3 linked regions of the Cricetulus griseus genome follow. The protein of the gene in region 2 interacts with the protein of the main gene of each other region in a pairwise test. Links are inferred from orthologs where the notes say so. Each region holds a gene or a part of one and is shown on either strand. Other genes may lie near its edges.

What was found.
Region 1: the proteins of Kifc3 (region 2) and CUNH1orf109 interact in binary tests that used the Homo sapiens proteins (3 or more experiments, as listed by UniProt). The two-hybrid records come from large-scale screens. The link is inferred for Cricetulus griseus from reciprocal best matches to the Homo sapiens genes KIFC3 and AIRIM.
Region 3: the proteins of Kifc3 (region 2) and Cdr2 interact in binary tests that used the Homo sapiens proteins (3 or more experiments, as listed by UniProt). The two-hybrid records come from large-scale screens. The link is inferred for Cricetulus griseus from reciprocal best matches to the Homo sapiens genes KIFC3 and CDR2.

What each region holds. Positions count from the first base shown.
Region 1 is NC_048595.1:28,107,405-28,117,548, reverse strand, and holds the end of CUNH1orf109 (uncharacterized protein C1orf109 homolog), read left to right. Parts: intron 1-1,428; coding exon 1,429-1,608; intron 1,609-3,532; coding exon 3,533-3,651; intron 3,652-3,785; coding exon 3,786-3,865; 3' UTR 3,866-5,254; downstream 5,255-10,144. UniProt on the Homo sapiens protein: Part of the 55LCC heterohexameric ATPase complex which is chromatin-associated and promotes replisome proteostasis to maintain replication fork progression and genome stability.
Region 2 is NC_048596.1:171,331,941-171,343,055, forward strand, and holds part of Kifc3 (kinesin-like protein KIFC3), read right to left. Parts: intron 8,509-11,115; 5' UTR 8,470-8,508; coding exon 8,304-8,469; intron 5,689-8,303; coding exon 5,546-5,688; intron 1-5,545. UniProt on the Homo sapiens protein: Minus-end microtubule-dependent motor protein. Involved in apically targeted transport. Required for zonula adherens maintenance.
Region 3 is NC_048596.1:79,696,640-79,707,854, reverse strand, and holds the end of Cdr2 (cerebellar degeneration-related protein 2), read right to left. Parts: intron 7,268-11,215; coding exon 7,119-7,267; intron 6,872-7,118; coding exon 6,707-6,871; intron 5,330-6,706; coding exon 4,468-5,329; 3' UTR 3,553-4,467; downstream 1-3,552.

The sequences.
Region 1 (10,144 bases), on a different chromosome or scaffold from region 2:
AGGGTAGTCAGGAGGCAGAAGCAGGCAGGACTCAGAGAAACCCTGTCTCATAAAAAAAAAAACGAATGAAAAAAATAACCCCAAACCAACTAAATAAACAAAAGTAATTACAAAAGCAGAAAAGAAGGGGACTGGAGAAAATGTAGTTTTCTGTAGTTGTCTTTAGTATGCTGTAGGGTTGGTAAGTGCTAGAAATAAGGGCTTTGTGTATGTTACCTTATACACCTCTGGCTTAACCCTGTTCATACACCTGGAAGCACAAAAACGGAAAGTCAAATAGATGTCTGATCACATAGCCAGTGAGGGATAGAGTGGGGATTCTGAAGTGTGTTTACCACATTAGCTGTGGCTTTCTACCAGGCTTTGTTCTACACATAGGTGGATACATGTGTAACTGAAACAGCCCACCAAACAGTAACACAGGTGTTGCGCTGATACTTTGTTTACTGTTTGTTTTATTACTGTTCATCACAGTCTTTAAGCTAGACTCAAAACTTGGCAGGTTTTGGATTGTTTCCTGTTTTTACACAGTTGGACATTTTAGAGCCCCAATTCGGGGCTAGGGGATTCTTTGGCCTTTGGAAAGTTACAGCCCTTGTCTTGGTTCCTTAGAGTTATAATACCTAAGCAGCCAGTGGTGCATGCCTTTAATCCCAGCACCCTGACTGAAACCCTCCTCCAAAAAAAAAAAGAAAGAAAGAAAAAGAAGAAGAATACCTAGGCACTACCAAAATCACTTTTCCTTCTTCTTCTTCTTTTTTTTTTTTAACCCCAAGACAGGGTTTCTCTGTGTATCCGTGGCTGTCCTGGAATTCGCTCTGTAGACCAGGGTGGCCTCAAACTCACAGAGATGCACCTGCTTCTGCCTCCTGAGTGCTGGGGTTAAAGGCGTGCGCCGCCACCACCATCACGGGTACAAAAGCACTTTCTACACATCATCATTATTTCTCTTTCTCATTCACTGCTACACTGACTGTGTGTGCTGTGTGTGTGCTCCTGTTCTTGGGAGACACAGTGAGCAAAGGAGCCTTTATATAAGGATTAACTCACTTTCCCCAGCAGTCTGCACCCCATCTACGCTGTCATTCAAGAACTGGATTAAAAAAGGGTAGTCAAGATGGCTCAGTCCCCAGATGGTTCAATCTCCAGAACCCACAGAAAGATGGAAGGACAGAATGGACACCACAAAGTAGCCCCCTGACCTTCACACACAAGTGCTGTGGCATGTGTGCCCCTTCCCACCATATGTAATTAAAAAGAATTTGCAAAGTGGGACTGGGGTGTAGCTCAGTGGTAGACCGCTTCCCAGGAGTGTCTGAGGGTTTGAATGCCCTCTGAAACAAAACCTCCAAATGTCAGTAGTGGTGAAAGGAGCCTTACCTCCTCCCTTTTTTTGAGATACTGTCCAAAATTCCACTTTTCCCACAGAGCCACCCTCCTCAAGGTTCGAGACACCATCAGCAGCCATGTGGAGCGGGTGTTTCAGACCTACGAGCAGCATTCGGCTGCACTTGACATGGATGCTGTCCTGCAGCCCTCAGTTGTGAGCCCCTCTGTGGCTGACATGTTGGAGTGGCTGCAAGACATCGACAGACATTATCGAAGCTCATATCCTTGAGTGCATCCAGACTGCTCAGAGCTGCTCCAGCAGCCTTTGCTGGTTCACATCTCACAAGATCAGCAGGCTGTACAGTTTGCTGCAGTTCTCTTTAGAGCTCAAACTTGGGTTCTTCCTGCATTTGTTTGTGTATTTTAATAGTCACTCCTTACAGTTTAGCTGCTAGGCACTGCTGTGAGTGCTGAGAGGCAGGCATGAGAAGGGGAATGTGTGCTGTCAGATGTGGTGAGTGCTAAGAACAAAGCAGGGAGACAAGGTAGGAAGGGTGGGCTGTGGGTTTTTTTTTCTCGAGACAGGGTTTCTCTGTGTAGTCCTGGCTGTCCTGGCCTCTGTCTCCAGAGTGTCAGGGTTAAAGGTGTATACCACCACCACCCAGCTTGGGGTTGTGATTTTAATAGTGTCAAACAGGCACCCATGAGGCAGCGATGGGTATGACATTTGAGCAAAGTTTTGAAAGAGTGAAGGAATGAGCCATGTGGATATTTGGGAGAAGAATGGTCCAGGCAGAAGGTACATGGAGTGAAAAGGCCTGTGCGGGAGCATGCCTGGTATATTTTGGACATAGCCATGAGGTCTGTGTAATGAGGGCAGGGCATGAGGATAGTGACATGGGACCTTGGTTTTTTGAGAAGGATTTTTTGTTTGTTTGTTTGTTTTGTTTGTTTTGGTTTTTCGAGACAGGGTTTCTGTGTAGCTTTTGAGCCTATCCTGGCACTCGTTCTGGAGACCAGGCTGGCCTCGAACTCAGAGATCCACCTGCCTCTGCCTCCCAAATGCTGGGATTAAAGGCTTGCGCCACCAACGCCCAGCTGGGTTTTGGCTGTTCTTTTGAGATGAATGTTCTCAGAAGATTTTAAGCAGAATAGTGTGGCCAAGGCTTATGCTTAGCATTCATGAGGAGGTCAGAGGATAACTTAACAGAATGGGTTCTCTCCTTCCACCATATGGCTCCCATTTAGTTCATTGGATTTGGCAGCAAGCACCTTCACCCAGTGAACCATCTTGGCAGCCCCTGGCATGGATGCTTAATCCTGTATCCCCTCCTGACTTTCCTCTATCTCCAGATTCTCTCTCTGAGCTGTCTGTGGTTATGTACCACAGTCATCTTCATGAGGTCTAGGTCTAGTTGTGTTCAACCAGGAGTTGTCAGCTCTTCTGTTGCTGGTGGGGTAGGGCTCAGAATCCCTACCTTGTCCTCCACTGCTGCCTTTATACTGGCTGAAGCCACCTTTCAACTACTTTCTACTTTAGCCAACCGTGTCAGGACACTGGGAGGCTTGCAGTGCCAGTCCACTCCATGCTTCCTCTGCCCTGTGCCTTTGTTTCTCTGTTTCTTCCAGTGGTGTGTTCATCTGAACTGCCAGACTTTTGTTTTTGTGTTTGTTACCATTTTGATTTCTCTAAATAGTGCTGGGATTAAAGGCGTGGGCCTCTACAGCTGACTAGAACTGCCACTGAGTTGTTTTGTTTTGTTATTTTTTTAATAATGTATTTACTTTTATTTTATGTGCATTGGTGTTTTGCCTGCATGTATGTCTGTGTATTTTGCCGGCATGTATGTCTTAATAACCATGTATGTCTCAGATCTTGAAGTTACAGATAGCTGTTAGCTGCCATGTGGGTGCTGGGAACTTGTGTTCTCTGTTAGAGCAGTCGATGCTTTTAACCACTGAGCCATCACTCCAGTCCCCTGTCACTGAGTTTTATCTTTCAAGTCACTTTGCTCTTCTGTCTGGTCCACCCTCAGCCTGTGAGATCCGAGTCCCTTTCCTAGTAGCATCAAGTTGTACTGCGGTACTGGTGCTCATCATTCCTCTTGGCACTGGTGAACCCTGCCCACCTGGGAAGGTATATTGATGTCACTTTTAGCTTCCCAGATTTCCTTTTTTTGAACAGTCCTTAACTTCTGGGAAGGTACCTGAAGAGAAAATACCTCCTTTCCTCCATCCACTGGGGAGACTTGGCCAGCATCCAAGCACTGCCTAAGGCCTGGAACCAAATTTCAGAAGATGAGTGCCAAACCCTTGTGCCAGGTACTGGTTTCCATTAGTTCCCCATGCTGCCTCCCTATCCCTGTTGCTGCTTGCCTCTTTGGAGGTGTTAGAGACAACCCTGCTGTGCTTTGGGGCCTTAATAACCCTGTCTTGTACCCCTCTTCCTGTTCTAGATATCCTGGTGAGCGTCTCCTTCTTCCTGGAGGAGCCAGGATGCTGCACAGTGTCTGGAGATCAGGAGTCCCGCAGTTGAGTGCAGCCCTCAGCTTTCTAAGTGAACCTCAGCACCACAGCCTGATGGACTGAGACACCAGTTCCTATGGTAGAGGTCCCTAGCATGACTTCTTGCTAGGCCATGGCCAAGGATCCATGACCACTGCACCTGCGGCTCTGGGAGGTGGATGGGGTGGAGGAAACAGGAAAGGCAGCGCTGATAAGCGGTGTCCATCGCTATCAGTAGGCTTGAAGTGGCAAGGAAGGAAAGGACAGGAGGCAAAGGTCCACAGCTGCCTCCGCCTCTGCGTCAGCTGAAGCACTTTGGTTGACTCAGGTCTTGGTTATGTGTGTATCACTATCTTGAGTCCTTAGTGGTTTAAAGATAGGAGTGGGTCTAGGAGTGAAGGGCAGTAGCAGTGTGTGTGTTGCACACATGAAGCCCGATTCAATCCAAAAAAGGGACGGATTGAAGGAAAGGGAGCATTTAAAATGTTTATCCCTTCCCAGTAGGAATCAAGCCAATTTCCATTTCCAAAGCCAGCCACCAGGGGGAGATGGTGCAGCGTGAGCGGTTCTGAATGCTTTGTCCTGGAGAGGTCCCCTGTTGCTGTTAAAAGTAACTGAGGGGGGCTGGAGAGATGGCTCAGCAATTAAGAACACTGGCTGCTTTTGAGGACCCACATGGCAGCTCACAACTGTCTGTAACACCAGCTCCAGGGGATCTGACACCTTCACACCAATGCACATAAAAGAAATAAGTTAAATAAAGTTAAAAAAAAAAAAGTAACTTAGTGCTGGGAATATCAAACCCACCACTGGTGAGGCAAATACAGGTGAGCTCTGTGATTTTGAGATCATCCTGGTCTACATAGCCTCCAGACTAACCAAGACTACATACTGAGGTGCTGTCTCAAAAAAAAAAAAAAAAAAAAAAAAAAAGGAAAAAAAAAGGAAAAAGAAAAGCGGGAAAGAAAGAAGTTAACTGAGAAGAGTGATACTACTACTCAGATCCAGGGTTGTGACCTCTCATTGGCTATATTCTTCTGGGTTTGGAGTGACTGCTCAGGTAGGCAAATATGCCAGCTGATTAGTTGGCATATGCCATTGATTGTTAGTTGTGATTGATTGTTTGACCTGGGGAGGGAGTCTCAACAAGGAATGTTGTAGATTTGGGTGGCCTGCAGGCAAGCCTGCAGAATTTTCTTAATTGTGGTGAAAAGAGCCATCCTGAATGTGGTGTCATTTCATGGCTGGGCCCTAGATGGAATGAGAGAGCAGGCTGAGCACTAGCAGACATGCATTAATCCATTGTTCTTTACCATGGGTGTCATGTGACCAGCTGCTCCAAGTGCTTGCAGCCTTGATGTTTCTGCAATGATGGACTGTACCCTCAAATTATGAGCCTAATAAACCCTTTCTCCCTTCAGTTGCACTTGTCTGTGTTTTAGGGTTCTCTAAAGGAACAGAACTGATAGAATACATACATATATATGGGGGGGAAGAGAGGGAGGGAGGGGGATATTGGAGTGAGAGGGAGGGCAGGCAAGCCTAATGCAAAAGCTTTCTTCTTCCATGTGCTTTTATGTGGTCCAGACTTGGGATGGGTCTTCCCACCTCAAATGATCCAGATTTAGGGTGGGTCTTCCCACCCCTAATGATCCAGTCAAGAAAATCCCTCACAGACATGCCCAGTTGCGTGGGTTTTGGGTTTTAGTTGATTCCAGCTGTGGTCAAGTTGACAGCCAAGATTGGCCATCATACACAGTAACAGGAAATAAGCTGAGAAGCAGCCTTGAGTCATTGATCAGAGCCATACTCACCCTCTGTGCAGTGGCCACTTGCCTTGGGATCCCAGCTGGTAGAAGTCAAGGCTGCCATGAACAGGACTTAATACAGAGGATGGATACATTTAAAAAGAAAGTGGCTTTGTTTAGTTTTGTTTGAAACAGATACTTAATGGTGTTTGGTAATAACTTACTTAAATAGAATTGTTCTTTTTTTCTTCACTCTTTTGTTTATTTGTTTTTTGTTTTTCCCACAGGGTTTCAGGGTTTCTCTGTAGCTTTGGAATCTGTCCTGGAACTCACTCTGTAGACCAGGCTGGCTTCAAATTCACAGAGATCCACCTGCTTCTGCCTCCTGAGTGCTTAGATTAAAGGCGTGCACCATCACAGCCTGGCTGTTTTCTTCACTCTTAGTTTTTCTACTAAAAATGCTATCTTTTCTCTTTTTTTCTTTTACTAAGAATGCATTTAAGTTCCTGATGCCTGTGGAGGCCAGAGGAGGGCTTTGGATCTCCTAGAACTAAAGCTATAGATGGTTGTAAGCTGCCATGTGGGTGCTGGGAACTGAACCTGAGTCTTCTGCTAGAACAGCAAGTGCCCTAAACCACTGAGACAGCTCTCCAGTCCCTAAAATGACAACCTTTTCATTATTTTGGATAAAATAAATATGATTTACTTGTTGAATAAGGTACACATAACCTAAAGTGTAAAATGTACACAGATATATTTAGTGAAAAATTTTCCCCCATCTGCCCACTTCTCTTCATTGCAGACAGCCATTGCTAAGTGCTCTGGTGTCTCTGGAATGGTGGGTATTCTCTGAAGTGGTCCCTGGTGACCCCACCTCTAATATTCATGGCCTTGTGTACTCCTTGCCTTTTGATGGGGGCCTCTCTGTAGCTCCGCTGCTAATGGGTAGAATAGTGAGAGTCACTTCTGGGAATAGACTATAAAGAGCACACTTCTGTCTTGGCTGCTGCCCCTTGCTCTGTCTTACATCTCCCACTTTTGGGGACGTCAGCCAAAACTTCGTATTTCCACCTAGTAGAGAGACATGGGAGAGTTCTGTGCTGGACAACACCATGTGAAGGAGCTTGGAAATGTCCTCCCTGCACTGGTTGAACCTTTAGACGGGTCCACAGCTCCACATGACAGCCTAGCCTCATAAGGACCTGAGCTAAAAATGCCAGCAGAGCTGTGCTTGGATTCCTGGCACATGCAAGTGGAAAAATTATTTAAATCATGTATGCTTAAGGGAACTTTCCTCCCACAGCAGCATATAGCTGACATAGGAAACAACAGTTTTGAGTTTTGTTTTTTTCATTGTTTTAGTGAATATAGTGACATATACCCACTTTTTTTTTTTTTTTCCCCCCGAGACAGGGTTTCTCTGTGTGTAGCTTTGGAGCCTATCCTGGCACTCGCTCTGGAGACCAGGCTGGCCTCGAACTCACAGAGATCTGCCTGCCTCTGCCTCCTGAGTGCTGGGATTAAAGACGTGTGCCACCAACGCCCGGCTACATATACCCACTTTTATATCTGTTTTTTTCCCACTGTACCTTGGAATTTGTTCTGTGTAAATATATAACTTCCTTAAAATATTTGAAACAGTTACAGAGTCTGGGAGATGGCTCAGTTGGTAAAGAGCCTCTGCTCAAGCATGAGAGCCTGAGATTGGATCCCTGGCATCCACATAAGAGCTAGGCATGGTGGCACACCTCAGTTTAGTGAATTAGTAAGTTCCAGGATCAGAGTGAAACCCTGTCTCAAAAAACAAGATGGAGAACAATAGAGGATGACATCTAACTAGATCTCTGGCCTCCTCAAGCACATGCATGGGCACACATCTAAATATACGTGCAAGAATGCCATTACATAGTTTGGTGTTGTATTCCCACAATTTATTGCTTTCCTCTTACTGATGGACATTCAGCCTGTTTCCAAAGTCAGCTTTCTCTGAGCTTCCATGTTTATTCATTATACTATTTGTTCCCCAATACTTTAGATGGGAAGCAAAGGGGAATTAAAGCCATGGCCTGGAACATGCTAAACAAGCACTCTGCCACTGAGCACCATCCCCAGTCCTGGAGTTTTTATTTAATCTTATGCCTTACGACAACAACAAAAATCTGTTAATGTTTTCCCTGGGATTATCAAATTTAAAGTAATTTGGGGAAAACCAAATTACTTTAGCCCCAGTAAAGCTCTTTGTTTGGGGGCACTACTGGGTGATGGAGTGAGTTCTTTAACATGTCTCTCAGTTGGTGACAACCTTCCCTGCAACTGTGAGCCATAGTCTAGTCCAGGAAAATAAAGAAAGTTGACTTTCCTGTCTCTACTCCATCCACATTCAGAAATTGACCTGAAGATAGTTTCAGGGCTGGAAATGGCTCCACGGGTAAAGTGCTGACCTGAGCTCTCATCCCCCTGGGCAGTCATATCTTTATAACCCCATCACTGGGAGGTGGAAACGAGGACATGAGCTATGGCCGGGCGATCCAGAGCCAATCGCTGAACTCCGGATTCAGTAGAGACTATCTCAAAACTGAAAGTGGAAAGCCCGGAGGTGGTGGTGCACACCTCTTATCCCAAGCACTCGGGAAGCAGAGGCAAGCCTGGTCTACAGCGCTAGTTCTAGAACACAGAGAAACCCCATCTAGAAAAACAAAACAAAATGGAGCCAGGTGTGGTGGTATATGCCTTTAATCTCTAATCCAGCACCCAGTCTGCTCTATGATTGGAGTTCCAGGGCTACATAAAAGAGACCCTGTCTCAAACAAACAAAACAAAATCTTAGTGGAGAGTGACCTGTTTTTCACATATGTATACATGCACCACATATACACATACACAAAGATTCTTACATGGCTGGAGGTGTGGCTCAGTGGCAAAGAGCATCTTAGCATGTTCGAGACTCATCCCCAACACTGAAAAACAAGGAAGACAATTCTGCACTCAGACAAAGTAAGTGTTGTCCCAAGCCTGGGCTCTCAGGAGAAACTCTGCCTGCCTGGGGCAGTACAAGCTTAATGATGCCTGCCGTGTTTGGCTCATCTGAGGAAGGAAGCCAGGTACTTTCCCAACCAGCCCAAGCACTGGGTCCTTCAGAGTTCCTTTTCCTTGTGAGGAGGGGGATTGCCACATAGTCATAGGAACAGCTTTGTGTTGGAAGGTCACAAAGTGTACTGCACAGCCTGTCACCTAGCCCTATGGTCAATTGGCACAATCACTAACTAGCCATGAGGTTTTGTCCAGTAATTTCCCCTCAGTTGCCCCATTTGCATAATAGAGAGGATGCCACGTCCTTGTGGGGTCATAAGGTTCATGTAAAAAAAGGATATGTAATCGGGCAGTAGTGGTGTTCAATTTTAATCCCAGCACTTGGGAAGCAGAGGCAGGCAGATCTCTGAGTTCAGGACCAGCCTGATCTACAAATCGAGTTCCAGGACAGCCAAAGCTACACAGAGAAACCCTGTCTTGAAAAACCAAAAAGAAAAAAGAAAGAAAGCAAAGACTATGTGACAGATTTGGGGACAGTTGTCAACACTTAAGGAATCAGAATGCCCTTGAGATTCCTTAATTACCTGCTCACTGAAAAGTTCCACCATGCTCTTTTTGTTTTTGTTTTGTTTTGAGACAGGATGTCTCTGTGTAGTTCTGACTGTCCTGGCACTAGCTCTGTAGACCAGGCTGGCCTTGAACTCACAAAGATCCTCCCTGCTGCAGACTCACGAGTGCTAGGATGAAAGGTGTGTGCCCCACTGCCTGGCTTGCTATGTTCCTTAGCATCATCACCCAGTTTGAGACAGGGTCTCCTATAGCCCAGTCTGACTTCAATCTCATTGCAATCCCCTTGCTGGAATTTACAGATTGCACTGCCACCTGCGGCTTATTTTACATTTTAAAATATGTTTCAAACTATTGCAAACACTGACAAAGGTACGCTCACATCCATTGGACAGATAAAGAGGCTGAGCTCTGGAAACAGTTTCCTAAGTCCCCGCTGGTGGACAAGGACACCGCAGCATTTACACAGGTTCTTGGCTCTGGCAAAAGGGTCTTTCCTACAGTCCATTGTCCCTTTTCTGTCACAGAGCATACCTAACACCAACAGAATGGGCCTGGCAGCAACAATGGCGTGTCCTGGCCCCTTCCAGGGCCACTCAGACCTTGCCAGCTACCCTCCCTTCTGATTCCATGGCCAAGAGGGTTGGAGTGGGTTCCAAAGCTGTCTGCCAGAGCCTTATATTTTTCCCTTTGTGCCAGAATCTGGGAGGAGAATGCCAGTTCTTCTTAAAGAATGATGGGATGACCCTTCTAGGCACTCACCCTTCCTCTTTATCATTCCTGGAAGGCTCCTTCTGAGTTTCTGCAAAGGGCAGAGGAAAGTAGTTTTCCTGAGCCTGGTGCTGGTGGAGTGAACTAGAGCCTCAAAGCCAGAGGCCTGGATCCACATGGGTGAGGATGGGGGGGCAGTGGCTTGCTCTGTGCATTCCCAACGATAACCTTCATTCTGTTGTATAGCCACCCCA
Region 2 (11,115 bases):
TGTCGTGTATAGAAGGCAACTCCTCTGTAGTGTCATTTGCTGCAACACCTTGGCAGTCGGCCTTCCACCTAAGGATGGCCCTCCCAGGACTCAGAGGCTGCACATGAGTCCATCTGACCAGGAAAATGACTACCCTGCCTCCTTCAGGCTCTGTCCCATGAGGCTATCCAGGGGCAATGTGAACCCATGTGCTGGTCAGGAACTGAGGCAAAGGTAGCTGGGCTGGAGCGGACAAGTGGGGGAGTGGGAAAGGGGTGCTTCATTCAAAGACATCCTCTGTAGCCCCCAGAGAATGACACCGAGCAAGGGTCAGAACAGTGTGGGAAAGCGTGATCCCATTTGAGGGTCATACACAAGATAAAGGTGAAAATGAAACTGGAGATCTCACAGGCTCCGTGTGTGCTCAGTGTGGGGTGTACATACACAGAGACTCACTGAGATAGAAACAAAAGCAATTTAAACTTGGAGAACACAGGAGAAAAGGCAAGGTGATGAGCAGACAGGGTCTTCCTGGTCATTCTGGAGACATCTGGGGTTTGAAGTTTTCACCTTATAAACACAGTTGGGTTTGGTTTATGTCCACGGAAACATCTGGTAAGAAGCTTTTATGTCTTTGTGCCCTCTCAAGTCAAGTATGACTCTTTTATATACACAGGGTCTCACTCTGTAGCCCTGGCTGCCTGGATCTTACAGAGATCTATCTGCCTCTGCCTCTGCCTCCTCACTACTGGGATTTAAGGTTTCTGCCAACACTCTAGGCCAGGTGCCACATACATTTCTTTAATGCTCAGGGTAGTAGGGAAGCCAAAGCCCAATGAGACAGCATGTCACCTGTGTGCTGGGTGGCTGTGGACAAATTCTGCACCCTCCCTCAGTTTCCTTCCACAGTCTCAATCTAGAACCACTAACCTCTGCCCACTTGTGCCAGTGGGCAAACCAATGGCAGCCACAAGTAAAGCACATTTAAGGTGCCTGGCCTACAAGAAGTGCCACATAGATAGCAGTGGTGAGTTTATAATTTCTCTAGTCTCCACTTACTTGAGCATCAAAAGGCCAATCAAGAGAATTGCAAGAGTGAAAAGTGGCCGGGGCAGGTGCCTGGTTAGCCACGACCTTAGCCTCTTTCCCCCTCATCTTCGTATTTAGGAAAATTCTACTTAGTTAAATTTTGTCCCCACCCTTCAACTGTCACACCATCTTGAGCAGGTTGGAGGAGGTGGGGGAGGCAGGGATGGCAGCAGCTGGAAGTTTCCATTTGCCTTCAGACAGGAGCAAAGTTTACACTATTTCTGGGCTGCTGGCCGAAGCACAGGAAGGACAGATGTCCCCAGGGGCTGGGAATTTCTGTACTGCCTCTGGGGGTACAGCTCAGGCTTTAGCTGATGGACCAAGGCTGGAGTGACTGACTCTGTGACCTGCAGGTCGCTTCACTGTGCTTGGGACACACTTTGTTACATATCCATATCCATAAACATGGCAGAGTTCGGCAGGGGCCGGAAGGACATGAACTTGGAAGCCAGAGGCTATCAGCTTCTGAGTGGAATGTGAGCAGAACTGCTGAGCCCAGGCCTCCATAGCAGCCACAGCCCAGCACCCCATAATCAAAGCTCAAGAACAGGGCCACCACCCAGCTGAGCTGCAGCTCCTCACCACAGCCTCCCGATTTAACTTCCCTCTGGTTTCTTTAACTGTTGTCTCACCAGACCCTCTGGGACCTCACAAAGGACAAAAGTATGGGCAGCTCAGCTCCCAGAAGAATCTCACAAGAATAAAGAAACACGGTGAAACACAGGCTGTGGCTGAGGTGCCATCGCCCTTGGGGTCCTGCCCAGAGCAGTGGCCCAGGGCTGCAGCAGCCAGAGGAAGGACAGCTCAAAGGTGTATGTTCCCCCAGTGCCCATCCTGACTACCATCTATCTGCACTTGCTTCATCCCGGCTATGCACAGCGGCCACTTAGGAGGGCAGGATATGTGCATGAGGCCAAAGAAGCTGGGAGAAAAGCCAGGCATGGTGGCTTATGCCTCCTACCACAGCATGTGGGAACATGAGGCAGCAGTATCTGCCATTGGGTTCCACACCAGCCAAGGCTACACAGGGAATCCCTGTCTAACAAATATAAAGAAAGAAGCCAGAGGGATTTTGAGTCCTCTCTCAGGGAAATCTGGGCAACACCCCCAGATAACACTGGCACTTCATTCTCTAAAGTTTTGTTCCTGGTATTCCCATTGGTGCTTATGCATTTGAGGTCACTGGTGACTCTCTGGTGGGCTATCTTCCCTATTTCCCTTCTCATCATCCCTGCACCTGTGCTAGATGCATTGGCATAAGGCAGCCAATCCATAAATATCTGTTCAGCAAATGCACATATTAAAATACTAATGCAGGAGGACTGAAGAGACCACTTAGCAGGTAAGGGCATTGGCTGTTCTTCCAGAGGACTCAGGTTCAATTCCCAGTACCCACATGGTGGCTCACGACCATCAGTAACTCCAGTCTGAGAAGATCCAATACACTCTTCAGGCCTCCACAGGCAGCAGATGTACATGTGGTACACAGACATATATGCAGCCAAACACGCATATAAAAATAAAAATAAAAACAAATCTTAAAAAAATACACTAATGTAGCCTGTACTATACAGGCTATATAGCACCATCAGAGGAAGCCACCTCAGCTGAGAAAATGCCTCTTTAAGATCCATCTGCAAGGCATTTTCTCAATAGCCCATGTTGGATGAGGCTGTCCCTGGGCTGCTGGTCCTATAAGAAGGTGGGCTGATCAAGCCATGAGAAGCAAGCTAGTAAGCAGCTGCCCTACAAGGCCTCTGCATCAGCTCCCGTTTCCAGGATCTTGCCCTGTGTGAGTTCCTGTCCTGACTTCCTTCAGTGATGAACAGTGATGCTGAAGTGTAAACAAATAAACCCTTTCTTCCCCAACTTGCTTTTGGGCCATGGTTTTGTTGCAGCAATAGAAACCCTAAGTAAGACATGGGTGCTAGAGAGATGGCTCAGCCCTTGCTGCTGTTGTAGAGAACCCAGGTTCTGTTCCCCGCACCTGTATGGGAATTCATGTTGGTAACTAGTTCTAGGCCTGAGTGTCTGCAGATCTGAAGATCTATAGAGAACCTAGATTTGGTTCCTAGCACCCAAAAGGTAGTGACAGGGATCTATTCCTTCTGGCATCCTCAGGCAGCAGGTACCAGGTATGCACATGGTGCATACACATATATGTAGGCAAACAGTCAAACATAAAAATAAATCTAAAAGCAAACAAATGCCATACCAAACTAATACAGCTGGGCATGGTGGCACATGCCTTTAATTCCAGCACTTAGGAGACTGAGTTGGTAGATCTCTATGAGTTTAAGGCTAGATGGGGTTAAATAATGAGATCCTATTTCAAAACAAAGCAAATAACAAACTAATGTGGGCCAGCCAGATGGCTCAATGGACAAAGGCACTTGATGCCCTGAGTTCCCATCCCCAGAAACCTACACAGTGGAAGGAGAGCCAACTCCCACAAGTTGTCCTCTAACTCCACAGGCCCCTTCTGCTGCACCCACACCCATGTACCCTCACCCACTCCCACAAACACACACAAAATGAGTGCAAAATACTAATGTCATAACTACTTGAACATCAGAATTGCTCACTGTAATCAGAGATAACACCCAGGGCAGATACAGAGGATTTGACCATCACCAGCATCGTCATTCATTCGGTGGTGATGGGAAGAACCGAAGGCCTCTTCATGCATCCAAACCAGACCAGCGCTCTGATGCTAAACCATACATACACACAGCCCAATTAAAGTTTATGGTAAAGTCTCAAGTAGAATGTTATGCAGTAGACAGAGAAGGGAAGTGGTTCTCTATGACTGATGTGTATAAAGAAGTCTCCAAGATGACTGTGAGGGAAACAGCACGTCATAGAACATGTCAAAGGAAATACAGAAACCATATGATTGGTGGTGGTACAAGGAAGAAAACTGTGAAGATGAACCTTTCATAGTGGACACATTGAAGGACATGAGGGGCATACAGCTTCTAGGAATTGTACTGTGAATTCTTCGAATTCTTTACACCATTTGGGTGTTTTGGGGTCGAGGTGAGACAGAGTTTCTCTGTGTAGCCCTGGCTGTCCTGGAATTTGCTCTGTAGATCAAGCTGGACTCAAACTCAGAGATCCACCTGCCTCTACCTCCCAAGTGCTGGTATTAAAGGCTTGCACCATCACCACCCTTTACACCTCTTTACACCGTTCTAATCAAGCTAATTGTGCTCTACTAGTAGTTCAGATCTCAGCCTACTGTGTGGCCAGCAGCAAGTTAGTTAACCTCTCTGAGCGTGAGCCTCCACGTCCTCATCTATAAAATCCATACAAAACTGTTGTTTTGAAATGGTTTTTACTCTTTTGGCCTTTTGCCTTTTGAGGGGGCCCTCCACCCAGCTCCCAAACAAGTCACACAGGGAGCCTTATTCTTACTTATGAACGCCTGGCCTCAGCGTGGCTTGTTGCTCGTCAGCTTTTCTTAAATTATCCTGTCTACCTGATCCCTCTGGGCTTTTATCTTTCTAACTCCATGGCTGGCTGGGCAGCTGTCCCCTGATGTCCTCTCGTTGTTCTGTCCTTCCTCCTCTTCCTCAGGTCTCCTTCTATTTTTATTCTTTGCCTGCCAGCCCCACCTATCCTTGCTCCTGCCTCGATATTGGCTGTTCAGCTCTATATTAGGACCACCAGGTGTTTTAGACAGGCAAAGAATCACAGCTTCACAGAATTAAAAAAATGCAGCATAAACAAAAGTCACACACCTTAAAATAATATTCTACCAACACAAAACAGTATCTTTCTGTTGAGACATGAGATCTAATGCCTATGTTCCAAAACAGCATTGAATAAAACCCACTAACCCTTTGTATTATTTCTGCAATCAAAGCCTTCCCCCATACATATAGTAAGTATGCCTTTTGAAAGTCAATGACAACTACAGAGGAAAAGAATCTCCCCATCCCCCCACCATCTTCCATTGGACTCTTTTTTCCCCCCTTTTGTGAGACAGTCTCTCTGTATCCCTGCCTGCTCTTAAACTTGCTTTGTAGACCAGGCTGGGCTCAAGCTCACAGAAAAGTTCTGCCTGCCTCTGCCTCCTTTAGGATTAAAGGCATGCACCATGCCCACCCTGGCGTTCCCTTGGATTTTTCAAACAAGGGAACACAGGCATTGCCTACATAGAAATAAACAGCTCCCCCAAACCAGCCTGCTTTCCCAATATCTCTTCCAGCTCCACACATCTTAGCAAAGGCCTCACTTCCCACATCAGCCAGGGTGTGGCTGAAAAGCTCCTGTCACCTCCTGAGATCGTCCATGAGATAAGCTGAGATGGAACCTGCTGCATTCATGCAGGCTCTCAGCTGTGACAGGCTAGCCAACAGGTGCCTGGCAGGTCCCCAGCTCTTCTCCCTACCAGACCTAACTGCTGGAGCTCAGAGGAGCCAGCACCCTGGCCACACTCACCCTCGCCCTACATCTGATGGCCCACACTTACCTGGACTGTCAGGTAGAGTCTATGCGGACTCCTAGGGCCAGGCCAGTCCACACTGAGGGCCCGACACTGTGCCAAGGACGGGCGAGCTGCAGTTCGGGTGCTCGAGTCTTCCTCACCACCAGTCAGGGTGTCTTTTCCACGCCCTGTTCCAGGACAGACGGGCAGGTGAAATGACATACTTGGCTGCTGGCTGAAGACCACTGGCCAAAGTGAGCTGAGCTCAGCTTTGCCCCCTCCAACCTGTCCAGGTGTGGCCAGCAGGGCCTCATGTGGCCTCACAGGCTCTCTCCACACAGGAGCACAGGTAGGGACAGGATGGGGCCATCTGATTCTCTTACCAAAAGGGGCCCTGAAATTCTTTCCTGAAGATAAGACCCTACTGGGAGCTCCCCAGTTGCCACAGTGGCTTTTGGGGTCCACACTTGTTCATCAGCTCCTCTACAGAGGCAAGAAGAAGACACTGAGTGGACTGTACATGGGGACACAGCTATATTACCCAGGCTGCCTCTAGGTGGCAATTTCTCTCTTGCCTTCATTAAGACCAAACCCACAATGGGTCTCTGCTGTACCCAGAAACAGCTAACTGCATCCTCTAGAGCCTCTATTGGGATAGGACACCCCCCACCCACCCTTGCAAAAGGTGGGAAACAGTACTGGCCTAACTGTCAAAATGCACAGCCACAGGCTGGAGAGATGGCTCAGCCACAGAGCACATACTGCTCTTTGCGAAGGACTGGAGTTTTCCAGCACCCACACTGGGTGGTTCACAATGGCCTATAGGTCCAGCTCCAAGGGATCTAATACTCCTGAACTCTGTAGGTACCTACATCATATGCATTTATCTACACACAGATAAATACACATAACATAATTGAACTAAAATAATAAATTCTAAAATCAATAAATGGAAGTTTTTTCCACCAGGTACATGCTTTTAATCCTAGCACTCAGAAGGCAGAGACAGGCAGATTTCTGTAAAGCTAGCCTGGTCTACAAAGCAAGTTCCAGGCAGTCAAAGTAAGACCCTGCATTAAAAAAAGGGGGGGCATAACCCATGTTGAGGATCAATGAGGACTAAGGCACAGCAAGGACCCACAGCTATCAGCCATTAGGATATCCATTGCTATCACAACCACCCAGAGAGGTGGAGGACACCCCCCCCCCTTGTCCAACAGGCAGAAAACTGAGACCCTGAATAGTTAACAATATGCCTAGTGTCACCCAGGGCTTCTATTCAGACCCCATGTGCCAATCAACCCTGGTTGACCATCCCTCTCAGGATGACAATAAGACTAGTGGGGGATATATGGAGAGGGCTGGGGTGCACTTGTTGACTAAGACTGACTGTGCCTGTCTGTAACACATGGGTTTCACCAGACCTTTAGCTAAGTTTATAGCAGCCAGAAATTTCTAAAATCACTGTACTCATTTCATTCATACACACACACACACAGAGAGAGAGAGAGAGAGAGTGAGAGAGAGAGAGAGAGACAGACAGAGAGAGAGAGAGAGAGAGAGAGAGAGAGAGAGAGAGAGAGAGATGAACTTAGTGAGTTTTCCAAGGTGAAATGTTCTGTTTTGTTTTACCAGAAAAACCATACTCATCTTTATTACACTCACACCCAGGGGACAACCTTGTAGAGACCATCCTTGGCCCCTTTCAAACGAGCAACTCTGACTGACCCACAGAGCCCCTGCTCTGCCAGAAGGCTCCCTGGCAGAGGAGCCAGGGGGTGGCCAGCCCGGGGCAATCATAGAAGCTTGCAGAGCTTCAAAGCACTGCCTGCCATAGTGAATGTGTTACAGTTAGAAACGGAGACGAAAGGAATTTGTTACTGGCCTTCTCTGAGCCTCAGTGTATCCCCTCTTCTGTGTACTAAGGGGATCACACCCCATGGTCTCATGGCCCAGAGGACCAGGCTGGTACATCTGAACACTTCTCCAGGTAGGTCAGGAGCAAAAAGGTAGCACGCCCCTGAAGGCAGCTCTTCTGGATAACCCTGCCTTCCCACACCACCAGGGCACCCTGCCTACCTGCCCACACAGAGCTGGGGAAAGGGTCAAAGCAGCTCCTCACCCCCACATTCAGCCCCTACACAGAGCAGAGAAGCCGCTGGCTCCTTGACAGTCTCAGCACTTGGGACATGACCCAGAAAGCTGACTGCTGACAGTTCCCTAGGGTACAGCAGTGGCCCAGGCTCCAGGACCCTCTCCATATAGACCTGCTCATAGGATGGCTTTGAAAGCCTCTTTGGCTGTCGGACACCTAAAACCCAGGGCCTAGCATCCAAAGTCTGCTGGGTAATACTCTGAGCAGCCTGCGTTCACTCCTCACCCCTGACCAGGGCAGCCTGACAGAATCAGGTGTCGGGTGCTGAGCAGGGCACCCAGGAGGTCAGCCGCTTCACCTACCTTGTTTACCGGCCTCCAGCTGACATTAGAGAGCACCCAAGTGAGATCTCAGAGTCCCTGACCTGGTTTGGCTGGCGGGAACGTCGCTGATGCCGCCGTGCTATGGACTGTTAAAGTTTAACCCGCCCCAGCCTTCTCCTCCTCCCAGGCTGGACGCAGGGAAGGAGCACCCGGTGACGCTGTTGCTGCGCTGTGCTCCACGCCCAGCCGGCTCTGAGCTGCTGGCTACCCTGTAATTACCTGACAGCTCTGACTGAGTTTAGGAACCGCGAGAAACCTCAGTCTCATCTCTGGGATCTGGAGGAAGGAAGGGAAATGAAGAGGCATTCTAAAAATGCGGACTCACCAGTTCTCAACCTCCCCTGGCCGGTGTGTGGGAAAGGGCGGGCGGCTGGGCTGGCTGGGGCGGGGCGAGCCATCCCAGGCTTGGGCTCCTGGACCCGGCCCACTCTCCACAGGCCTCGCAGTGAAGGCGTGGCTCCCAAGTTCCACGTCCTGCGAGAGGGGACCATGGCCCGGGGCTCAGCAACCTCTTCTGGGTGCCGGGCAGCCTGTGGGGAGAACAAGGGGAAAGGAGTTTAAGAAGAGTGGGTAGGTAGCCCACATGTTGTGCTATCTGGAAGGGTCTGCAAACAAGGGTCCCCAGCAACCTAGGATAGCAGCCCCAAGTGTAGCAACCCTAAGGACCCTGGGATCACAGGAGGGTGCTCGGAACTGATTATGGCATTTCTGAGTGGGCCAGGAGCGAGTCAATGTGTCTGCCACTCACTGTGAAGACCTGCGAGGGGGCACACTGGCTAACAGCTCCACGTGGAGGAAGCTCCAAGCCTATGCTTTCAAGCAGTGGTAAGTTTAATCCTTTTCCTCCGTGACATCTCATTTTCTAATTGCACTCAGCTGGTTGCTTAAGTCTCAGCCTTCGGGCTGCCAGTGGCTCAACAGCTAAAACTCCTGAGTATTAGTATCTCACTGAGGAGGGGCTCAGAAGGGGCTGGCTTAGGGCCAGGGGCAAGCTGGGTTTACATTCAGTAAATTCTCAGAGCCAGTTCATTCACACATTCAAGTACTGAGGGTGTGGCAGGCACCCTGCCAGGCATCCATTCAGTTCTGTTTCATATCATTTATTGAGTGCCTACTATGTGCTGGATTCTAGCAGAAGTCATCTGATTAGGAGAAATGAGTCCTCAAATGTCCAGTCAGAAGAGAACAAACCTTCAATAAATCTTCACGGCGTTAGGTAAAGGATTATTGAAGTGGTGGTGCAAGCCTTTAATCCCAGCACTCCAGAGGCACTGATCTCTATGAGTTCAAGGCCAGCCTGGTCCACATAGCAAGTTCCAGGCCAGCCAGGGCTACCTAGTGAAACCCTATCTCAAGAACAAAGGAATTTACACAGTACAAACAGGTTACAGGGAGGTTAGAGAAGTGTGCTAGGAAAGCCGGTCCAGGGCAGGAAGTGAACAAATGGATAGAGCTCAAGTATAAATTTTTGGACTTGGAGTTTTTGTTTTGGGTTTGGTTATTTGAGGCAGGGTCTCACTATATAGTCCAGGCAATCCTTGAATCACCATCTTCCTCACTCATAAGTCTTTCTTGAGTATCTACTGTGTGCAGAGTAGCCTCAAGAACATTTGAGCTGGCCAGACTTTGATTCAGGCTTCAATGCCAGTTGTAGAGGCAAACTCAGCTTAAAGAGGCATCGTGGAGTTGTACACCCAAGGGACATCCTACAGAGCTACCTGGATTGTGGACCACTTTCAGTTTCCTCATCCCTCACTGCACTGACCATCTCCTGCCAGGCAGCAAGAACATGTGTTGAACTGGGTCTGTCTCTCTCACCCTCTCTGGCTCCCTGCGAGTGAGAGGCATGCATGCATGCATGTGCGCACGCGCGCGCGCGCGCGCGCACACGCACACACACACACACCCCAAAGCCAGGAAAGGAGGACCGGCTAGCCACTAAGACTCAGAACTAAAGGCCACGACTGCTACAGGTAAGGACGAAATCAGCAAGGTTGACCAAGATGGGAGACAGTATTAAGTAAGGACAAGGCTGGGGTGAAGAGGGCGTGGAGGGGTGGGAACAGTAACTGGAAGAGGGAGGAGGTCAGAGAGGTGGCAGGAGCTGCCTATGTCATGCACAGAGTCCTCAGAAGAAGCTGGGCAGATAAGTAGGATAGTCAGGTGGTCATGGCAAAGCCAAAGAAAGCCCTAGAGAATTCTGGGTGGGGGGTTATACCTACCATCCCAGCACTCAAAGGTTGCAGGTTCTAGGCCAGCCTAGGCTGCAAAGCAAGTTCAAATTGGCTCAAGGAATTGGAGAGGGCCTAGAAGGCAGCTGTTTTCTTCTTTGGGGGAAGTTTAGCGACGATGGTTAGGAGAGGAACTGAGACAGGGGAGAGGTGGCATTGTGGGGTAGACAGAGGTGCAGGAACAAAGCATCTAGAAGCAAGGTGGGGAGAAAAGAAAGAGTCTGGGGTCAGAGACTGATGCTCACGGGGTCAAGTACTGAAGACAGTGGGGTCGTGGTCTCTTCCTTCCTTGACTGAAGACAATGTGGGGTACACAATGAGAGGGGGACAGGAATGTGGGACAAAGGGTAAGGAAGATGCTGACCCATATAAGTAGCCTCACAGCGCTGATGCCTTGAGATGTGTGTAAGGGGGAAGAAGCAAGAAGAATGGATACAAATGTCCTCTCCAGGCTGACTGGCACAGAGCTGGGCATAGAGCCAACCCTATAGCCAACGGGGGATGATGAGAGGACCGTCCTCTGCAGGTGCTCCTACAGGGGAGACCACGTAGGACAGAGGATTGATTCTAGGGGACATCAGCTCAGTCTAGGAGGTAGAGGCTGGAGACCATATTTCTGTGCCAGCAGGACGGGAAGTTGGAGAGGCAGCCTGAAGAAAGAGGAAGGGTGTGTGCTAGATCCCCAAGAGGAAAAGGCAGCTGAATTTAGCAGCTGGAAACCCTGGTGTGAGGTCAGGAATATCAGGGAATCTCAATCAAGCCCAGGGTTCTACACCGAGACAGCAGCGCAGGCTCTCCTACACAGGTGTCTTATCTGGGGTCCTGGAGCCTCTACTAATCTGGAATTCATGGAGTAGATCTATGAGAGTGGTCCAGGCCTTGGCCCTGCCACCTATGAGAATTAAT
Region 3 (11,215 bases), about 92 Mb from region 2:
TTCCAGGACAGCAGGGCTATTACACAGAGAAACCCAAGTCAGGAACGGCAGAGACAAAACTAACTTCAAGGGTCTGGAGGGATGGCTCAGAACACTTGTTGCTCTTGCAAAATACCCACGTTCTGTTCCCAGCATCCACATGATGGCACACAACAATGGATATCAAGTTCCAGGTGATCCAGTCCCCTCTTTTGGCCTCTGTGGACAATGCATGTTGAAGATGAAATACTCATACACATTAAATAAATCTTTAACTGGGTATGGTGGCACACATCTTTAATCCCAGCACTCAGGAGACAGAGACAGGTGGATCTCTGAGTCTGAGACCACCCTGGTCTACATATGGTGTCCCAGGACAGCCAGGGCTACAAATAACAAAAACCAAGTCTTTAAAACAAAACTAAACTAAACAAAAAAAAACCCAACCCCAATAAATAAATACTTCCATTCAAGAACTAGACAAGGCTGGACATTGGTGGCGCACGCCTTTAATCCCAGCACTTGGGAGGCAGAGGCAGGCGCATCTCTTTGAGTTCGAGACGAGCCTGGTCTACAAGAGCTAGTTCCAGGGCAGCCTCCAAAGCCACAGAGAAACTCTGTCTCGAAAAACAAAAAAAAGAACTAGACAACTTTAGAGAAAAACATGCCACCTCCCCTGCCAAATCTGGAAAAATTCTATGAAAGAAATTCCATTTTCCCTTTCAGTTATAAAAAATATAAATATCTAAATATAGCCATTAAATTGACCTATACATATGAAAATCAGACCCTAGAGTATAAATTGGTTCAAATTCATGAGTAGCATTTCATTTGGTGGGGAACAGTTCAGATGGATAGAAATATGGAACAGAAGGGACAAATCATTCAAGGCACTTGTCAAGAAACATGGTTATAAATTTGTAGTCAAGAAACATGGTTATAAATTTGTTTGGCAAACTTCCACTAAAAGTAAAATAAGATATTCAAAGAAAATATTTGCAATCTTCAACTGCAAAAGTATGCTTCCTAAGTACTAATGCTCTTTAACAAACAGGCAAAGGAGAATACAAATGGCTAACAGCAGGAATATTCAACTCTTCCAGCAGTGGCACACACCTTTGGAGGCAGAGGCCAGCAGAGAGAGGCCAGCCTGGTCTACAGAGCAAATTCCAGGCCAGACAGGGCTATGTGAGGTGGCCCTGTCTCAAAAGCAAACAACAAAAAAGCACAAATTAAACCAAAACCAAAGAATATACAACTTTATCAAGTTGTATAAGACAAATGTAAATATAAGCTTTTAAGAAAACACCATCTTCCTATTAGATTAATAGTAAAGTTTATTGGACAGCCTCAGCAACATCATGACACCCTTTCTCAGAAAATTAAAAGCTTATTGGCATGGGTTTGAGACACCAGGCATCCTAATATGGAGTTACCCGAAGTATGACAGTTCAGTGATGCCAAAGTGCTCTCATCTTTTCACTTTCACTTTGATGTTCAAATGTATCCATTACATTTTTAGTAATTGTAGAAGAGAAACCATCTCCTCATAGAGGCTGTGACACTATAGCTGTCATTAAGATACAGTATTTACAATAGTTTTGTTTTTAAATGTGGGGTAACAAACATTGCTGTGCTAGTGTATGCCTATCTGGGAAGAATATAAAGGAATATACATATACATATACATATATATATATATATATATATATATTATGTTTATGTACACACACACACACACACACACACATATATATATTATATACGTAGGCTGATTTTTGGGAAGAGCTGGGTTGGTAGTCAGGAAAGCTGTAAGTAGCAGTACATACTTGTAATCCCAGCACTTGAAAGACTAAAGCAGGAAGATCACCAGCAGCGTGAGGTCAGTCTGGACTACAAACAAGACTTTTCCATAAAAGGTTAGTTGGCGACTACCTGCCTATCGAACATGAGTCCTGGGTTCGATCCCCATTACGGCATAGGCCAGACAGGATAACACCAGCAACTTGGGAAATGGAGTTTGAAGTTCAAGGTCATCATCAGCTACATGGGACCATCTCAAAAACAAACCTGGAGGCTGGGTGTGGATAGTCAGATCCTAGTACATGACAGGTAGAAGTGCTGCAAGCTCAAGGCCAGTTTGGTCTACAGTGAGTTTTAGGTTAGCCACAGCTATATAGTAAAATCCCATTTCAAACCAAAACAAAAAATGGAATTAAATTTTTATTTTACATTTTGTTTATGAGTGTATATGTAGGGGCATGTAAGTGCCACCAGTGTGGAGATCAGAATACAACTTATGGCAGGCACTTGGTTCTCTTCCACCATGTGGATTCTGGGGATTGAACTCAGTTCCTTTATCCATGCCACTAGTACAAAACTTTTAAGAATTAATTCAAAAACACATCTAATTTAGAATCAATAATCATAATATTTGACTAATGTTATTGTGTGTGTTGATATATTTGTGGACCAGACATTGACATCAAATGTCTTCCTCTATCATCACTCTTCTATGAAAAGACAGTATTTTCACACGCAAGCACAGGTGTACAGGTATGTGTGCAGGTGCTCAAGGCCAGAAGCATTACAATCACCAGGAGCTGGAGTTACAGGCAGTACTGGGAACTAACCTGGGTTCCCTGCAAGAGCAATGTACTTTTTTTTTTTTTTTTTCTAGACAGGGTTTCTCTGTGGCTTTGGAGGCTGTCCTGGAACTAGCTCTTGTAGACCAGGCTGGTCTCGAACTCACAGAGATCCGTCTGCCACTGCCTCCCAAGTGCTGGGATTAAAGGCATGCGCCACCACCGCCCGGCTGAGCAGTGTACTCTTAACCATTGAACCATTGAGATATTGCTGTAGCGCTTGCTCTCATTTTTTGAGTTTTGAAGTTGGAACTTACCGATTGGTTAGAGCCAGTGAGTCCTTGAGATCTGCTGGTGTCTGCCTCCATACCCATAATAGCATGGGTGCTATTGCATGTACATGCACCATGCTCGTACCTTTTACTCGGGTGCTGTGGCATGAACTCTGGTCTTTACACAAGCACTTTACTCAACTGAGCCTTTGTCCCAGCCCAATAGTCAAACATCGAAAAGTTTTTAACTATGATTAACTGATTGGATGCTTTAACAACCAAATAGTTAAATGCTATGAATTCAGAACTAAGCCAGACACTTCTGAAATAGTGGGAAATGTTTTCTTTTTTTAAGATTGTATTTATTATGTATACAGTGTTTGGCCCACATATATGCCTACACACCAGAAGAGGGCACAAGATCTCATTACTGATGGTTGTGAGCCACCATGTGGTTGCTAGGAAGTGAATTTAGGACCTCTGGAAGAGTAGCCAGTGCTCTTAACCTGTGAGCCACCTCTCCAGTCCCTGGAAAATGTTTTCAATCATAATATTTAGCAACATGGACAGAATTTATATTAAGTTATACAATCCCAAGGGTTTCTTGCTTAAAAGTAAATAAGGAGAAATTATTTTCAAATTCCCTAGAGCTATCTATTGGGGAAAAGCCAGTTGTTTCAACTGTAAAATGGCATTAAGCTTAAAACAGGCAGTAATTTATTTGTTCACATTCATAGATAGCTTTATTTGGCTTTTAGAAAAATATATACAACAATCAGAACCATGGTTCTCTTAAATATTTTTAAATTAAAAGTGTACAAGTGAGAAGAGTGTTTCCACAGTCAGAACATCAATACCGTGTAATGCAGTAGACAGGAACTTCTGCAAGTCTAGGAATGTTAAGAACTGAGTAGGAGCAGCTTGTGCTGCCAAGTGGTCAGCGCAGATCACACCTTAACATTTCTCCTTTAGTTTCTATTTGAAAACAGAATACTACATATAGATTTGAGTAAAACAGCTGAATGCTCGGCATATACCAATAGGCATTAATCAAAACAAAACTTGCCATTTCAACTGGCATTCATTTGAATTTGGAAATATTAGGATTACCTGTCAGTCATCGTTCAACTGGTAGCAGATGCAACAAAACTTAGGGGTTTAAGGAGCTTGTTAATGTCATATTTCCAATTAGATTTCAGCTTTCTCAACATTCTTTGGAATGGGTGTTTCTGAAAAGCATTTTAGTTAATTAAGCAGACCATGGAGTTCCAAGTAGTTTGAGAAGCTGAGTATGGAAGCAATAGGAACAGCCTTAGTCTTGTTCCAATTCTGTCTTTTGCCCCACACTGTTGGTGCTTTAGCCTACCCCAGCTACATGGATCCCCCTCCACTGGTTCTAGGGCTTTTCCTGGAGGTCAACCTAATCAATGCACCAACCAGAGGCCAGTCTATCATGAGACTTCCTAGGGACCCTAGAGTCAACATTATCAGCCATCTCTCTTCCCGCTTTTGCCAATTAAGCAAAGCAATGAGACAAGTATCTTTAGCAACATGAAGCTTTGGAAATTGCGCTTATGTGTCTGAATGGGAGGGGATGAGAGAAAACCAGCAGATCATAACTGGAGGTATCATTAAGAGTAAGGAGAGAGAGATGGGTATTTTGTTCTCTGTTCATCTATTTCCTGCTTTGTTTTCTTGATGCAACTAAATATCTCCTTAAATAGTGCTTTGTATTCTGGAGGTGTAGTGGTGGGGGAACTGATGGGCTCTGGGGTAACAGGAGTGGGTTCCCAGCCACTGGCTCCAGCCTCAGACTGGGTTACCAGTCCTGTCAGGTCCCTGGCCGGCAGCTTAGAGGTCTGCACAGCCTTGTGTGACAGTGAGTCCTGCTCCTGCTGGCACTTCTTCAGTAGTTCTTCATACTTCACTTTCAGGGCACTGTACTGAGTGTCCACTTCATGCAGAAGGGAGATACCCCTCTGCTTCACAGCCTTAGCTCTCCTGATGCAAGTCTCTTCATGGCCCTTCACGATATCACCCCCTAACATGCTGCTAAGCATCGTCTCACTGCTGCTGCGCTTGAGTGGTTTTTTATGTGCTTCTGGAGCAGCTAGGAACATCTCTTCCAGCAGGCTCTGGCTGGGCTCCTTGAAAGGAACAAACAGAGAGTCGGGTACCAGCTTCTCAACACCATTCACAAAAGGATGCTCTGACTGCAGCATCTGCCGCATCTCAGCCACCTCTGCCTCCAACTCCAGTGCTCGGGCTCGGTAGGCATCTGTGGCACCCAGCTGCTGCTCTAGTTCACAGTTCTCCTTCAGTACCACCTTATACTCTGCCTCCACGCTCACTCGCTTCTTCCTCTCTAGGCTCAGCTGTGCCTGCAACATTGTCACTGTCTTTTTCAGGTGCTCATTTTCTTCTTCATCAGGGCTTTGTTGGCTTTGCAAGGAAGTGATCTTCTCAGCAAACACGTGGTCATATACAAAGTGTCTATGAGGAAATATGGAAATAATTAAATGTCAATTGATGGTACAAAGGAAGTTGCTGGGGTTTTTAAACTAAATCTTTTTAAAGAGCTGTGACACCAATTTTTAGCTCATTCAATGCTACAAGCAGTGGCTAAAATTAAACTATATGAGGCTGGAAAATTCTTGAAAGCAAATAACAATTTTGTGACTGATCCCCACCCCCTGAATAGTAAAAGTAGTTTAGAAAACTCACTTGTAAACCAGCAGAATGACAGCTGCTTACAAGAAATGTGATGGACAAGAAGAGTCTCATCTCTAGTTGCAGATCACAAACAGCTGGGTAGTTTTAAAAACCTGGAGCTCACACCATTCATTCTGACCTTGTTGGTTTGCTACTTGGATCTACATGGTTTTAAATGTTTGTTCTCCATAATGTGTGGCCAAGGTTAAGAAACATGATGTTTAGACTTTTAACTAGGGATACACATCAGCAGCACTGGGACAGCTTTAGGTTCATGCCAAGAAATTCTGACCTGAGAGTTAGTATCTGCTCTTGGAAAACATCCACAGTGCCAGGTACACACATGCAATGTCAGCACTTGGAAGATGGAGGCAGGGGGATCAGGAGTTTGAGGCCAGCTGGGCTGTATGAGATCTTATCTCAAAAGCCTCAAATCTCTATAAGTAGTGTGACAAAAAGTAAAGGGGGAGAAACATTAACTGGCCTCTCCTATCCCATCTTAGGCAGCTTGAGTGCAATTTTTTGGTTGTGGAGCATCTGACTTCTTGAAAGGTCATGTCTACTTTGGCCATCATTCCTGATGACTGGCACATCAACTGCAGTGTTAACAGGTGTTTAGTAAGTATTTATTAAAGACTCAAATTCATAACTACAAATTATAAGGGCACTTTTTTTAGGTGAAAATACTTTTTTGCCTCAATTTTTGTTCTACCAAAATTTGTCTTCTTTTCTTTTGAGACAAGGTCTCTTCTCCATAGTCCTGGCTGTCCTAGAACTTGCTATGTTTTGGCCTCAAACTCATAGAGTCTGCCCATGCTTCCTAAGTTTTGGGATTAGAGGCATGCACCATCACACCCAGCTTCCAAAATTTTCATTTTTTTCTTTCAGTCTAATGTGAAATATATCCCCCAAATCTATACTGTAGCAGAAGTATTACTAATTTTAAACTAATATTTAACAGATTAAAATGAAAAGAATTATAGATGCCAATAAACTTTCACTGTTACATTTAAGTTCAGTGGCTTTGTTTAAACTACTAATGGCTTAACAGGCAAGGGGCACTTCTTGAAATGGAGCTTTTCATCTATGGTAATCCAGAGTGTATCAATGACATGGGATATTCCCAGCTTGAAAATCCACAACAAGGCAGGCTCTTACTGGCGGAGGTCATACAGCTCTTTCAGACAGGAGAAGCTGGGTGCTGGTTTCTCCCGGTCACATGTCTTCTGCCTCCCTCTTCCTTGGTTGGAAGACTTCAGCTCCTCCACTTGGCTTTGGAGGTGATCAATGTTTGTTTGCAGGCATTCAATTGTTTCCGTCAGGCTGTGAATAAGACACAAGCTGGTTGCTGCTTGTCACATTAAATTAAGATCAAAACCAATGAAGGGGGATTAGGTGTGAGCCACTCAAACTTGCCTTTCTTAATTGAAAAGGACTTAAAATTAATCCCCATTCCCCTAAAATAATGAACCTTTGTCCAATACTGCCCAAACCCTCAACAGCACATTCTACTTCAAATTAGTTGCTAAATAACTCCTTTGTAGATTGCCCTCAGTAACAGAAATTTTACCTTATGATTTTTTGTTGTGAGGCTTTGCTCTCAGCAACTAGCTTCTGGTTGGTTTCTTCCAGTTCTCTTGCTGTGACATCTAACTGCTCATAAACTTTTGCATGCTGCTCATTCATTTGCCGTAGAAGCTCTACCTGTTTGGTCAGATACTGAAAAAGAAGAATATCAAGGTGATGCAAACAGATAAGATAGCCTGCATGCTTCAATACTGATTCTCTGGCTCTCCCATACCACCTAATGCCAGGTGAGGGCTTAGAGCTTCCACCTGTGGGCTAAGCACTCTCCCAGCATGGTGATGTGTTTGCCAGCACAGAAGCTTCCATAGCCTTGATGGTCTGCCTGCCTGCTTCTGGCTAGCCACTGCAACCCTCTAATAATGTGGTCATTCCTCATCCTATTATTTATTACTCAGGATAACAGGGGTTTTAGAAGAGTTTTATACCAGGAATGAGGGACAAAGACCAAATGTGAACTTTATATTATACCACAGTATCACTGGGTTTTTTAGTGGAAAAGAGAATTTTAAATCCCAATAAAAACCACTTTTTAAATAAGAAACAGGCACAAGCTATCCTTGATGTGTTTAGCTCCATTAATGCTTTATAATACTCCAATATTAATGAAGTTTGTTTAATTTTACAAAATATATGCTTAATATTCAAAAAGCAAACCCAAGCCAGGTGGTGTTGGCATACGCTTTAGTTCCAGCACTCGGGAGGCAGAGACAGGTGGATCTCTGTAAGTTCGAGGCCAGCCTGTTCTACAAGAGCTAGTTCCAGGACAGCCTCCAAAGACACAGAGAAACCCTGTCTCAAAAAACAAACAAACAAACAAACAAACAAACAAACAAAACCCAAAGTGAAGTTTGATAATCCCACAAGAAGAAAATCTTGGGAAAAACACAATGAAAGTTTAAATAAAATGTTTAATAGGCACTGGAGAGATGGATTGGCGGTTAAGAGAACTTGTTCATGCAGAGGACATGGGTTCAGTTTCCAGCATCCACTCAGCAGCTTACCACCACCCAGGGGACCTGGTCCTTCTACTTCTGCAGCATCAGGCGTATACACATACTCAAGCATAAGATTCATACAGATAAAAATAACAAATCTTTAAAGAACAGAAAAGGTTTAAAAAAATGTTTAACCAAAAGAAAAAGTTTAATGTGGAAGAAAATGTTGATGATTTTCACTTGCAAAATAAAATAAAAATCTTTTTTTCCTGAGTGAGGCATTTCAGAAACAAACCAGTGAAAAATGCATTAATTTTACCAGGTACACTTTGATATCATAACGTCATTATTTTGGCCTATAAGAATGCCATCTCCACTATCCTAGTCACAAGACACTTACCAGGTTATTTATTTTGGTCCTGCTAAGACTGCTTTCTGAAGACCAAGGATAAGGGGAATAAGCACAATCTTAATGCCAGAGTTAGGTCACCTGGATTTCCTCCCTAGCCAGTTCCACCCAACACACTGTAAAGTGTAGCATATATTCCAAACAGAACATTCCTGCTGCTATTCTCTGGATACAACCAGAAAAGGAAAAAAAAATGAGGTTTTAAGTATAATCACACGGTGGCAGACTTGACTTTAAAAACACTTCTTGAGGTATTTTACATCAGGGCCAAGTGACTTTTTTTTTTCTTCCCCGAGACAGGGTTTCTCTGTGTAGCCCTGCCTGTCCTGGAATTCACTCTGTAGATCAGGCTAGCCTTGAATTAAGAGATCCACCTGATTCTGCCTCCCGGGTTCTGGGATTAAAGGTGTGCACTGACATGCTACCACCATGACCTTTGCTTTTTGAGACAAAGTCTGTCATAATATCTCCAGCCAGGCCAGCTCTGACCTTTGGTGGTCCGGACTTGCCTCCTAGTGCTGGGAGTACAACTGTGTACCACTATGACAGGCTTCAACAGTCTTCTTTCAAAACACAGAACTCAATGATACTCAGTGATATGACATGGTCCCTTTTCAGATGCTTACATAACATATATACAGAATAAACAACTCCTCTTTATCTTCAACTTTCTCACGGGAATCTCCCAAAGCCAAAAGTGTTCTGAAAAATTCTTTGAATTAACACCACCATCACCATTCCCAAACAAACCATAGAATTTATAACTTATGCTTTATTAACACTCCTGTGAGGTCTGGGCAGGACTCTGTAATTAAGCATTGATACTTCCACATCAAAAAGTATAAAGATTACAAACAGCCTCGGATTGGTTAATGATTTGCTAGCAAATAAATTGATGTAAATTTAAGGGATAAGATCTCAGTAGAACTTCTGGGGTTCTGAAGTGGTATAGGGTTGTAGATGTTAATAACTGCTAGAATTAACATGATTAAATGAGCTAAGTTAACACGAAGCATGGTATCTATAGAGTGCATTTCTTCTTCACTGCCCATACTTCTGTAAGTTTCTCTTGGTCCTTTGGAAAACAACTACTCAACTTGTGACAAGAAGTCTTTTCAGATCTGTAGGAGAAAGCTCTTGGTTCTGCTCCTGGCTAGCAATGACACAGCAGTTTCCCGTCATCCACAGGAATGTGTTTAATTTCTTAGGAATACTCTACTGGGTAAAGAGGGCTTAGGGTCAAAAGAATATATATGACAGGGGTGGTAAGATGGCTCCGTGGCAAGGGCACTTGCTGCCATGCCTGATGACCAGATTTCAATCCCCAGAACTCATAGGTAGGAGAGTACTGACTCTGTAAGTTGCCCTCCGACCTCCACATTAGCTGTATGCCATAATCTCGCCTTATTAGCTATATATATATATCTCCAAAAACCCATCTCCTTCATTCAGGTGTACAAAATAAACACTTAAGGTCCAGGTTGCTGCTACATTTGGTGCCTTCCACCAATAGAAATCAAGTATTTTCATATCATACTGTAGGGTTTGCAGCACTGTTGATGTTTTACTTACATATGTCACTATTTGAAATTATGATAAGTTTCCAGATTGCCACAAGATCTTGTTACTTGCTATATAAGCTTTATTAGTATATCATGAATTTGTTTCTACAATATTTAATGGCTATTTAAGTATGATATTCATTTATAATTCAATGTTTAGTTGAGATGGGTAAACCGTCAATCCTCCCGCCTCAGCCCTTAAATGCTGAGATCTGATACTGAACCACCACATTTGGTGCTGTAATCCAATGCATTTGAAAGGGCTCACAATAGACCTTGACAGACAGCCAACAGGATCTGCGGCACAAACACGGGCCAGGCACTTGAGTTATACATAAGCTCTTTGCAAGCTGTTTCAGAACACATGCTCCAGGGAGTGGAGATGTTCATCTGCTGCTCTTGCACAGGACCCACCTGCAGTTCCCAGCACCCATGTGGTGCATCACAACTGTCTGTAAGACCAGTTCCAGGGTCTCTGACACTCTCTCCTGACTTCTGCAGGCACCAGGCACCACGTGGAACACAGATACACTTGCAGGCAAAGCATCCATAAACATGAAATGCATTTGTCAGAGTACTTGCTCTTGTCTACAGCAGCCCTTAGAGGACCCTCATTCCTCTCGAGACAACACAGCAATCTACTCAACTGCTTGACTGTTACTGTCCCTCTCTTTCTGGGATACTGTTCTCTATCTAGTCCATAGATATTTCTTACATATTTATTAGCTAAATATCAATTTCTGGACCTCTGTTCACAACAGCTGTGTTCAGTACCACAATTCAGAGTACAAAGGTCAAGAAAGGTCTAATTTGAAAGCTTCTGTGATGGGGTTGGCTGCAGACCTCCTGGGAAAAGCCTATTAACCACTAATTCCCATTTAGACTCTCTATTCTCATGACCCCAACATCATACTCAGAAACCTAAAGGGGAGATATTTATTATACATACCACATATTGCACAGAACCCAAGTTAAGCTGATTAAAAACAAACAAACAAACAAACAAAAAAACAAAACAAAACCAAAACTGTCAATTTAGGCTTGTGGCCAACATACAGGAAATAAATCAACATGTAAATAAGTACAAAGAGACGACGAAAAACCTACAGAAAGTGCCTCTTGTTCACTATATAAAAATCTGTGATAAAAACACAATGAAGCCATTGAAGAACTT